Linked DNA regions of Arabidopsis thaliana. The protein of the gene in region 2 interacts with the protein of the main gene of each other region in a pairwise test. Each region holds a gene or a part of one and is shown on either strand. Other genes may lie near its edges.

Region 1 (4,085 bases), on a different chromosome or scaffold from region 2:
TGAAAGTAGTTTGGTTGGGTTAGACCCATATCTAATTTTAATTTTGTTAAGTAGATGAGATGACATAGAAAAATGGTAAGCTTTTATTGGTCAACGTAAATAAGGTGTATTAATCGAAATGTTCTGATTGGTTGTTGATTTTAATGAGGTGTCATGCTGAGAACACTTAAAAAAGCTGATGTGTCAGCGCATGAGAGACTTTTAGAGTTTTTATGTTGTTGATAAGTTTTAATTTCAAAAGATATTTTACTAATCAATCTTAGGGTTTGGGAACTCATTCATCTTATATACCAAGTTCTGAAACAATGTCAAATCATTGACCAACCTGTCGGCTCTTCCTGCCTTCAACTTTTGACCTTGTCACGTCTTTGAACGCAAGATCAAATTAGATATAACAAAATTCGATTTTTGAACGCAATATCAGAAATATAATTAAAGTCCCAAATTGTATCCTATGAGTATAAAATTCTCAAGCATACAATCCAAAGATATTGAACGCTTAGTATTAATTTAAATTCTGATTACATCATTTACGTGTATGACGTAAACGAATCAAATAATTCAAACAAAAAAAAGAGATAAAATAAACGAATCCATTATCAAAACGATGATCGTACACCAATATATATCTCAAGAATCAAAAAAATTGTTGGACATAACTCGACATACAAATATAAAATAATATTTAGAGTATAAAACGTCAAAATGTGACTCTTCATATCTCTAGTATTAAATTATATATATATATATAAATAAATAGAATTAAAATCCGAAGGTGTCTCTTGAATCATCTGGTCAGTGCATTGAGTTTTAGGTCAAGGCCAATGTCCATTCCGTTGTAAGCAATAGGCGCATACATCCATAGATCATCAGAGCTCAATAACTGTATAACATAACATTATTCATTATAACCAATATTTAATTCTCTATCTTTAATTGATACAATATTTTCTATGGTTTAATTTATATTATAAGCATTGAGAACCTAACGTACCTTAATTTGGAGCTGTAGAAATTTGACGTATTGTACTGCTTCTTCCAACATCGTGCTAATATCAACCTGATACATACATATTTAACACATTTAATTTACTTAGTAATCATGAAACGAAATGAGTAAAAAGTGATGTGGTTACGTAGTAATAAATAAGTTTGCATGGAAAAAAAAAGGTTTGCATGAATGAAAGACATATGTACCTTTGTTCCATTAGGGACGAGATGTTGCAAAATCCTTAGCCTCTCGTTTATCCTCTCTCTTCTTTTCTGCACCATCATACAATGGACTTTGTTTAATTGTTTCAGCTATCATAATAAATTTTGTTATGTTTGTACAATGCATATACATAAGACTCATCATCACATTTGTGTACATGTTTGAATAACATCGAAGCCTTAATTTTTAAAGTTTATGTGTAAATTACCCTTGCGTAAAGGCTTTGAGGATCTGTGGCCGCGCCGCGGCTGGCCCTAGTCTTGCCGTTGAGGTTGAGAGCCTTAGAGTCCTCGCCATCTTCTTTGGACAAGAAAGTGTCTCCACCGTTTGATTCGTCATCCGAACAACAAGTCTTTTGCGGCTTAAGTGGTTTGGTCTTTCTCTTCCCCGCAGCCTTCTCCGTATATTCTTCTTCGCCGCTATTTTCATTTTCGCCACTCATCTCTACGCATTTCTGGCTCCTTCGTGCCTTGTTGGCTCTCTTGTTCTTCTGATTTGGTTTCAAGAACATTAAAATATTTAGAATTATGGTTTCGGCTGAAAAAAAAAAAAAACGTTTGTACAACTTACATCAGTTGTTGTGGCACGCGTCCTCTTCTTTGAACTCTCACATTGGTTGAACATTTTCTCATCAGTGGTCGTGGTCAAGGAGTTCTCAGGCTGTAGCATACTATGGTCGTGGTTTTCTGCGACAGTCTCCAAAGGCAAGAGGCTTTTACCGGAGTATTCCGTCGCATCACATTCACTTGTCTCTTCACCAACAAGGTACAAGTTCGTGTTGATTGTCGCGTCCTCCATCCCATTGTTATCTTCTTCTTGCCGTGGCATCGCCGCGCAGTAACCACTATAACTACTGCTCTCCTGAGAGAAGCAAAAGCCACCATTCCATTGAGAACCCTGGTGGTGGTAGGCCGTGAGTGTGGCGGTTGTCTCTGAAGATGAACCGCCACAAGGTTGCTCATAGGAGGCAAGGAGCTGATTCATAAAGTCAGCTTCCTCTGTATATATTCCGCCTAGGCCGGTGCTCCATTCTCCCATGGCTTCCATTTTTGATCACTAAGCGACTTTAACAATAGACTAATTAATCTTAATTAAAATCCGATAAGTAATGTGAGAGTATTGAAGGAATGATTGAGAGGAGTTTGATGTGTGTATTATATATAGGATCATGAGAAGTAATGGATATAATTAAATGTCAACCAATAAAACATTATAACCATCTTTAGAATAAAGTATTTTTTTGGGTAACCAGGTCTTGATACCCATAGATATGAACAGCTAATTATAGAGCTTAAAGAAAGCTTTGTCTTTCTCTATATCTGTTAAGCATGAGTTAAAATCTGTATTTAGTCATTGGTAATTCAATACAAAAAGAAGAGGATCAGACCTATACAAATCCTTGGAGGGGAGATAAATCCAGGTTCAACTGTATCTATTATGTTAATAATATAGAGTTGTGAAGAAAATAATGAATGTAAGGAAAAGGTACAACTAGGAAAAAATATAATTGTGATGTATCAATCCCAAAACCAGGGACTTATACATATGTTTAATTTATAATTGATGTATAGAAGACCTTTGCATTTGAGGATTTGTTTGAGCAAGTCTAAAATATGAAAAACAATCTCTTTCTAGTTACAGTCGCTATGATTGGTTCAAGTTCTTAAAAAAACGGTTAACAATTTGTTTTAGTGGTTGGAGGAAACGGTTAGAGAATACCAAGTTGAAAAATAAAACATAATATCAAAAACAAACATGACAAAGAAGACTCAAATAACAAAAATAATCTTATACCAAAATATGTTTACACTTTTAGTGGTACAAAAATTTGTTGGGTTTCAAAGTAACAAAATATCATAGATTTGTCAAGTTGTGACGTGAGTATATATTGTTATGAATGTAAGAAAAAAAATAACTAGGAGAATTATCATTGTGATGTATCGATCCCAAAAGCATGGACTTATACGGATGTTTAATTCATAATTGGTGTATATATAGAATACCTTTGCATTTAAGGATTTGTTTGAGCAAGTCTACAAGAAGAAAACAATTCTCTTACTAGTTACGGTCGTTGTGGTGAAAGCAGTTAGAAAATTAAGTTGACAAAAAACAATCCGATAACATAAAAAAAAAAAAAAAAAACAATAAGACAATCTTATATTGTTGGCTTTACACTTTTGCTAGTCTTAAATTTTGTTCGGACTTAAAATTACAGAATATCGTTGATCTATCAAGTGCGAAGTGACTATATTGGTATGCAAGAGCCGGATCATGGCCGAGGAAAATATATATCCCTTCATTATACCAACTTTGAAAGATGGAATGTTGATGCATGCAAATATCTTGAGAAGCTATAATCCAATAGACATGTTAACCAAGGTCATCATGTATGATAAGATAAGGAAATGTGCAATTTTATTCGGATTTTTAGCTAATGTAAGGTAATGTGCTTGTCTATAGACTAAGGATCGAAGTCATTAGTCTATAGACTTGCAAATTTTGCAAACTTCTTGTTGGTGAGCATTGGAAAATTTATGGAGCCTCTATCTTTATTTTCTTTATGTTATCTTAGTTTTAATTTGTATGAACTTCTCTCGTTTAAAGTTTAATAGTGAATGAAAGTTGTTTGACAAAAAAAAAGGATCGAAGTCATTAATCCTCCAATTAGAGAAAAATGATTACTATTTTGTTCATGTAAATACTTAATATATAGTCTACCACTTTGAATAAGTTCCATCCATAAATTTGAGTGAGTTCGAACAAGAGTTTTTAAATAAGTCTAATGTTTTCAGGGGAACGAAAATGAGAGGTGTGAAGGGGAGAAATGAGAATGAGAGACTCGGTTGTTGAACGTGACAGTTATTGTTGATAT
Region 2 (3,413 bases):
TATTATATCTAAAATAAAATAAATAATATAAATATTATTATTTTGGCAAAAAAACTATATTAATATTGTTTTAAAGAAAAAAAACTTTGTAGCTAAAATGATAAACATATATAAGTGATTTTTTTTAACTTACATATCTCGTTAACGTTTTTTTGTTTTTTCGTTAACGTTTATAATTTGTAAGAAAGATTTAAAAATGAAATATTTTCATAAATATTTAAATATTAGATATTTGATCCGCGGTTTGGGCCTGTAGAGAATCTTAAATTCATTTTTTTTTTCTGTTTTTATTTTCAATCTTTGAGCAAAACAAATAGTTAATGATGTTATAGATTCAATTGTTTAACAAAAACTAACTTAAGAAATTAATTTAATTGAATGATTTTTTTTATAACTAAATTGAATGATATTGCAAATATCTATTTACAACATTAAATATATTTGTTACTATAATGATGTTAGTGTAAAAAATATATTCATTGTTGCACCCAAAACATTCATAATTAAATGTTAGTTTTAAACTTGGCAATCGAAATTTTATATTATTTTTCTTTCAAATCGCTCATATGATGGCAGGTTAACCAAATATGTTTTGCTTGTCCGTTTTTTTTTTCTATCTGTCTCCAATTGTTCAAATAATATATACGAGATATTGAAGAAATGGTTGAGAGAAAAAAATGAAATGGTTGAGAGAAAAAAATGAAATGGTTGAGGTTTATTTAAGAAGGAGAAGTAACGAGAGTGTGCATGTATCCACAAATAACCCAAATTAAAATAGTACATCTAGCTATAAAAAACGTCCCGTCTCAATGAAGTAATCAGACGACGGTCTTATGTATTTGGGTCGATGGCGAAGCTATTCGATAGAGAGTTCAAGATCTCTGATCAGCACATGTTTATATGAAAGATTTTGGTGCATGACTCCTTAAAATATGTATGAGTATTGAAGAGACACGTAACTCGATAAATATATGCAAACGTACGTTCTAAATATCACATCAGAAGCTAGCTTGCACAGTGTTACAAGCCGGTCAAAACAAATTTCTGACTAGAAACATTTTCTTGCCCTTGCATGGACATGTCCATGCATGTTGTTGATATAATAGAAAGTTTATCTTGTTCTCAATCAAAATAAATAATTCTTAAATATTGAAATATGTCATTTTTGTTCGAACTTGTAATAGGAGTTTTACAGTTCTCTTTTCCAACTAGATAATGTTTTTCCAATTTTAATGCAATTTGTTGTATCCATAGCTAGCTTGAGAAGAAAAATAAAATACTAAAGATTAAGAACTGCCGTTCATGAACAAGAATGACACTATTCCCCTGCCGTTCTTAGAATTTCAAGAAAGAGCAAGAAAGCAAATATAAGAAAACAACAAAAATATATGTTTTCTTCTGTCTAATGGATGTGCGTAAATGTGGAACACATAAATATAATAATATAATGGAAAATGAGTAAATAAATTGTTAGAGAAAACCATGGGACGAAGCAAAATCATCTTCTTTGCTTCCCGCTCAATTGTTGGAACTTTCAAAAGAAGCTTCTTGTATCTCCCCTATATATATATAGCTTATGGCTGAACTAACTAGTTTATCCTTAACCCTCCACTTTTCACTCTTTAACAAACTCAAAATCCTCAATTTAGTCAATCATCAATGGAGAGAAACAACCGCAACGAGGGGACTCACGAAGAAGAGCAATGTTCGCTTTCTGATATTATTTATTCGTTTTGTTCAGAAAATCATAGTGAATTAAACCCTTTGCAAGAGATATTCGGTGTTACCAAAAACAATGATCATGAGAAACACGACGAGGAGCCAGACGAGGAAAGTTACCGTATGGCTAAACGGCAACGTTCCATGGAATATCGTATGATGATGGAGAAGGTGAAGATGACTTAATCTCCTTCTTCTCTTACGTGATTCCCTAGCTAATTTATATTTTTGCTTTCTAAACTTTGTAGAAAAGACGAAAGGAGATCAAAGATAAAGTAGATATTTTGCAGGGGTTGATGCCTAATCATTGCACAAAGGTTAACTATTACTTAATTTACTCCATATTTTTTATATATTAGAGTCTAATACAATATCAAGTTTCGAATATCGAGTTTCTTGTGTGTTTATCTACAGCCGGACCTTGCATCGAAGCTTGAAAACATCATTGAATACATTAAAAGTTTGAAATATCAAGTAGATGTAAGCATTAAACTATATCTAATTTAATTTAGTTACTTGTATCCATTAGAGTATATATGTTCTTATGTGTTATGTGGATGTGGTCCAGGTTATGTCAATGGCATACACAACAACTCCGGTTTACACACCACCATTTTATGCAGCAGCTCAAGCACCATGTATGTCTCCTTGGGGCTATTATACGCCAGGAGTTCCAATGATGCCTCAGCAAAACATGACCTATATCCCGCAATATCCTCAGGTTTGATCAAATTAAAGTTTAATCTGATTCCACAGATTCTGATTTCTGCCATCAATCTTTTATCACAGGTATATGGAACAGTGCCGCCAAATCAAACTCAACCTTAAAACAAGCTCTAGCTATGTGGCTTTTTAAGACCCTCCGGCTTTAGACTCGTTGCTGTTTATATAGACTGTCTTTGTAAACTAAGATATGTACATAGATACATAAATACATACGTAGTTTTATGTATAACTTTTAGTTTGATGCCACAATATGTAAAAACACCTGTTTTTTATGTTCTGTTTTGGTTGAGCATTGTTCCTCTGTTATTTATGTTCTGTTTTGCTCAACCTTTTTCTTTGTTGAATGTAAGTTAAATAAACAACAAAGATGTTATGTTACGTGTAATAGTACGTTTGTACCAAACATTACTACAACCCTAGTTTGATAATTTTTATCTTGAATCATAGAAAACGAACTAGATCACTAAAATGTTAAATTCAAGAAGCAGAATACATTCATTGGCTACAAATTATCTACACACTTTAACTTTTTTTATTAAAGCAAGAAGCCAAAATAGTTTTATCTTTAAATGTTACTAAAGTAAACAAAAAATGCTTCCCGTTTAACCTCCACAACCACCACCGCAGCCAGCGGCGCAACTGGATCCATTGACATCGTCGTTAGTGTGAGGTTTAGAAGCTCGGTCACTGCATGAGAAAATCACGGCTGCTATGACGGAGAAAGCCACAACAGCTGCCCAAATGTAGAGTGAGACTTCACCATTACCCGCCGCTATTACCGCGAGTTCTCCTCTCACCATTGAAAGAGTTTTTGTGCATCGCTTTGTGACAATTGTTGAGACTAGTTGATAAAGAGAGTTGTAATTGGCATATTTTCAAATGTGTGGTTTTGCGTTTTCGAGTCAGAAGTCACCAAAAAAAAGATGCGACGACTCTTTCTTATATATACTGCCCTTTGGTTTAACTCT
Region 3 (3,881 bases), on a different chromosome or scaffold from region 2:
ATGTTATAACTAGACTAGATTAAGTTTTGATATGCAAATATCTTCAAAAACTACTAAAGTGTTTACATCACATTTGAAAGCCTTCACCATTTTTTCATTTGTTATGAACATTGTATCTTAGAAGTTAGCACTTTAGAGTTTTTTGCAAGATAACATTGAAAATTTAATGCTTCCAGTATTGGTTAACTAGTCGGTTGCATGTGTAGTTTTCAAAGAAGTGCATTTGAATCCTAGATGTAGAAGAGATTAGGACTCTCTTTAATAAAAATTATATGTACCATTTTGGTTTCTTGATTCTAGAGTTGTATAAGCTGCAGAGTTTAGATATCGATAATTTTATGAATGAATCTTTTTTTTTCTAGGAATTATTGAGCATCACTGACGAAACAGGAGATGAACGCACTGGTTTAAGCGAGGAAGTGATTGATGAGAATCTAATAAGAAGGAAATATGAAAAGCGTAGCGACGATGAAACGAAGAGATGTGTGATCTGTCAGCAGAAATTGAAGGACAATGAAGAAGTTTCGAAACTGGGATGTGGGCATGACTTTCACTTCGGATGCATCAAGAATTGGCTAATGGTCACGAACAAGTGTCCTCTTTGCAACCGAGAAGTCGTTTAAATGTTTTATCAAGTTTGAAAGATTCCGTTTATCTCGTTGGATTTCAGTTTTTTTGTTTCTTTCTTTTGCTATGAACCATAATTACCAATATTTCCCTTTTTATCAAGTTAGAAAGATTCCATTTATTTAGATGGCAAGTTGGATTTTGATTTGATTTCTGATTTTGATTATTATCATCTATATATATATTTTTGCAGCCACTTTGTGAAATAAATTCTGGAGTTGGGATTTATTTACAGCGGCTGTCATTGGCATTTAATAATTGTTTTTGATAATTAGAAAGAAAATCTTCTAATTAAATATTTGACATTTAACAATCTTTCCAAAATCTCTCTACCTTAACTACACGATTAATTACTAAAATAAAACTTCTAAAATATTTAATATCATTTAATTACTACAAAATTATCATTTTTGATATTGCTTTTCTGCATGATTATAATCATCAAACCGTAGAGATATTTGATAACATTTAATTACTACAAAATTACAAAATATTTAGACAATAATTCATAAACATATCATAAATAAGATCACATTCATAAAATAAATGAGTTTTTTTAGAGGACGGGTTGGCGGGACGGGTTTGGCAGGACGTTACTTAATAACAATTGTAAACTATACAATAAAAATATTTTATAGATAGATACAATTTACAAACTTTTATATATATTAATTTAAAAAATAAATTGTTTTCGCGGTATACCGCGGGTTAAAATCTAGTTATTCTTATTTTTGCTATGAACCATAATTATTTTAATTACTATATTATATATATTTCCCTTTGGATGCATTAAAAAAAGGCTAATGATCAAGGACATGTTATCGTCTTTGTATTGACCATTATAATATCTGAATTTTATTTTGTGTTAAATAATCTCTCGAATAAATAATCTTTCGAAATGCATGCAGTTTTATTCACACTTTATCTGTGGACAACAACAACAACAAAAAAGAAGGAAAAAATAGATTTTTGTAATTTGTCAAAAATGGTGAAACTGTTGCGAGACCTTACTTTTCAAGTAATTGTCCATTTTCATGTTTAGTCATAATAATAATTAAATAGTCTATCAATGCTCTATCTTATCAATACTCTTATTTTTTCAACCGTTTCATTTACTGATTTTCATAATTTCATCCCCTCCTCTCAATTTAACTTATCACATTGAAAAAAACAATAAAAATGTATGTTTTTTATTTACTTGGTGGTCCAAAAATGCTTTTTTCCTTTTTTTTATTAGGTAAAAAATATAATATTATTAAATAAAATTGCTACAAAAGGAAACTGTTCACACACAGAGTGATGTGAGACACCAGATTCTGTCTATAGGGATTCGACACGCCACTCGCCTCTTTTAGAACCTCCACGCGCTTCTCTGAAGAACGTGATCTCACGCGTCCTACCTCCCCCGCCTATAAGCTTTACTACGAAAAAGCCACAGTGATAATTTTTACACACAGAGTAGAGCAGAGAGAGAGAGAGAGAGAGAGATGGGTGATTCTGACGTCGGTGATCGTCTTCCCCCTCCATCTTCTTCCGACGAACTCTCGAGCTTTCTCCGACAGATTCTTTCCCGTACTCCTACAGCTCAACCTTCTTCACCACCGAAGAGTACTAATGTTTCCTCCGCTGAGACCTTCTTCCCTTCCGTTTCCGGCGGAGCTGTTTCTTCCGTCGGTTATGGAGTCTCTGAAACTGGCCAAGACAAATATGCTTTCGAACACAAGGTATAAACTTAACTATTCTTAGCTGCAGAGATGCTTCACTTGGCTTTCCTTGTAAAAGAAAACAAAAACCAAAATTAGTCTCTTTTCTTTTTGGAATGGCTAAACACTAAAGAGAAGTGGAGCTAAACAGAGAAATTCGTTGAAGAGAAACATTGATGCTCAATTCCACAACTTGTCTGAAAAGGTTTTCTCTTTTATCTTCCTTTTAAGATTCTTAATTTAGAAAGAAGAAGAACCTTGAGATTGTAGTTGATTAGAATCTGAGTGTTAGCAGAAGAGGAGGAGCAAGATCAACGAGAAAATGAAAGCTTTGCAGAAACTCATTCCCAATTCCAACAAGGTTAATCAATCTTTGTTCGAATCAGAGATAGTGAGAAACATTGTTCTGATTGATCCGTTATCTTTTGTTTGTTTATAGACTGATAAAGCCTCAATGCTTGATGAAGCTATAGAATATCTGAAGCAGCTTCAACTTCAAGTCCAGGTTTTTTTCCTACTTACTATGATTATATACGTTCAAAGTCTGATTTGTAAATTACATCACTCAGATCATTAACTTGATTTACTGCATGATGCAGACTTTAGCCGTTATGAATGGTTTAGGCTTAAACCCTATGCGATTACCACAGGTTCCACCTCCAACTCATACAAGGATCAATGAGACCTTAGAGCAAGACCTGAACCTAGAGACTCTTCTCGCTGCTCCTCACTCGCTGGAACCAGCTAAAACAAGTCAAGGAATGTGCTTTTCCACAGCCACTCTGCTTTGAAGATAACATTCAGACAATGATGATGATCGGAATTCCTCTAGTACCTGCCAGACAGGAGTGAACAATGTTTTGAGTTTTAGCATTGGCCAGATTTCTATGTTCAGTTATAGTTATGCTAATAAGCTTTAGGAGTGAACAAAATCTGAGTAGTTTGATTATAATGATGTCTGAAGCAGATTATATATAAAAGACTAATTTACTTACATATGAGATGATTATTACAACTATCAAATGACTATGTCTGTGAGTTGCATCCATCCATAAGCACACCGGTCTCTACTACTTCGAGTGATTGCTGCTGCTGACTTAACCGCAGGTCTTATCTTCGTCATTGCTTTCTCTACTTGAATTCTCACGCCAACATCCATCTGTTATTTCAAATGGTACCGATAACTTTAGGGATATAGACAAGACAAATTGATATTAATAATATAACAAGGTTGTAAAGTAGAAACCTTTTCTAAAGAGCATTGTGTGTCTAAGATGTGGCAGAAGTATGACAGTTGCTTGTACAAGTCTGCTTCAGTGTACTGTAAAGTCAAGAGTTAGTCTGTGAAGCAATAGAGAGATAGGAGTTATAAGGTTGATGATGGTATATACCTTTCGTAAGAGGGTTCCGTTACAGTTAGGATAGTTTGGGCAAACTGTCCCCCGTTCACGTTCACCGAGTAGACGAAAGTTGGGGGAGCGGGTTGTGTGCTTGCATGACTCGTCTTCACACTGTTGAAGGCAAAATGTACAAGAAAACGTCTTAGCATAA

Evidence for each region. Proteins that work in one complex are often made in the same cells at the same time.
Region 1: the proteins of AT1G68240 (region 2) and AT2G14760 interact in a two-hybrid assay, tested with the Arabidopsis thaliana proteins (one large-scale study listed by BioGRID).
Region 3: the proteins of AT1G68240 (region 2) and ALC interact in a two-hybrid assay, tested with the Arabidopsis thaliana proteins (one large-scale study listed by BioGRID).

What each region holds. Positions count from the first base shown.
Region 1 is NC_003071.7:6,321,053-6,325,137, forward strand, and holds AT2G14760 (basic helix-loop-helix (bHLH) DNA-binding superfamily protein), read right to left. Parts: upstream 2,346-4,085; 5' UTR 2,261-2,345; coding exon 1,784-2,260; intron 1,704-1,783; coding exon 1,422-1,703; coding exon of another isoform or gene 1,407-1,421; exon of another isoform or gene 1,303-1,406; coding exon 1,198-1,302; intron 1,061-1,197; coding exon 995-1,060; intron 884-994; coding exon 788-883; 3' UTR 535-787; downstream 1-534.
Region 2 is NC_003070.9:25,574,313-25,577,725, reverse strand, and holds AT1G68240 (basic helix-loop-helix (bHLH) DNA-binding superfamily protein), read left to right. Parts: upstream 1-1,596; 5' UTR 1,597-1,659; coding exon 1,660-1,890; intron 1,891-1,967; coding exon 1,968-2,036; intron 2,037-2,133; coding exon 2,134-2,199; intron 2,200-2,287; coding exon 2,288-2,440; coding exon of another isoform or gene 2,441-2,446; exon of another isoform or gene 2,447-2,508; coding exon 2,509-2,547; 3' UTR 2,548-2,862; downstream 2,863-3,413. Other genes in the region: AT1G68238 (uncharacterized protein), read right to left, coding at 3,048-3,245. UniProt on the Arabidopsis thaliana protein: Transcription factor involved in somatic embryogenesis. Acts as a positive regulator of somatic embryo formation. Acts as a positive regulator of ECP63 by targeting its promoter and inducing its expression.
Region 3 is NC_003076.8:26,784,572-26,788,452, reverse strand, and holds ALC (basic helix-loop-helix (bHLH) DNA-binding superfamily protein), read left to right. Parts: upstream 1-2,021; 5' UTR 2,022-2,114; coding exon 2,115-2,351; exon of another isoform or gene 2,352-2,463; coding exon 2,464-2,535; exon of another isoform or gene 2,536-2,625; coding exon 2,626-2,691; coding exon of another isoform or gene 2,692-2,769; coding exon 2,770-2,835; exon of another isoform or gene 2,836-2,929; coding exon 2,930-3,121; 3' UTR 3,122-3,347; downstream 3,348-3,881. Other genes in the region: AT5G67120 (RING/U-box superfamily protein), read left to right, coding at 363-623; ICU2 (DNA-directed DNA polymerase), read right to left, coding at 3,349-3,489, 3,577-3,651, 3,722-3,841. UniProt on the Arabidopsis thaliana protein: Required for the dehiscence of fruit, especially for the separation of the valve cells from the replum. Promotes the differentiation of a strip of labile nonlignified cells sandwiched between layers of lignified cells.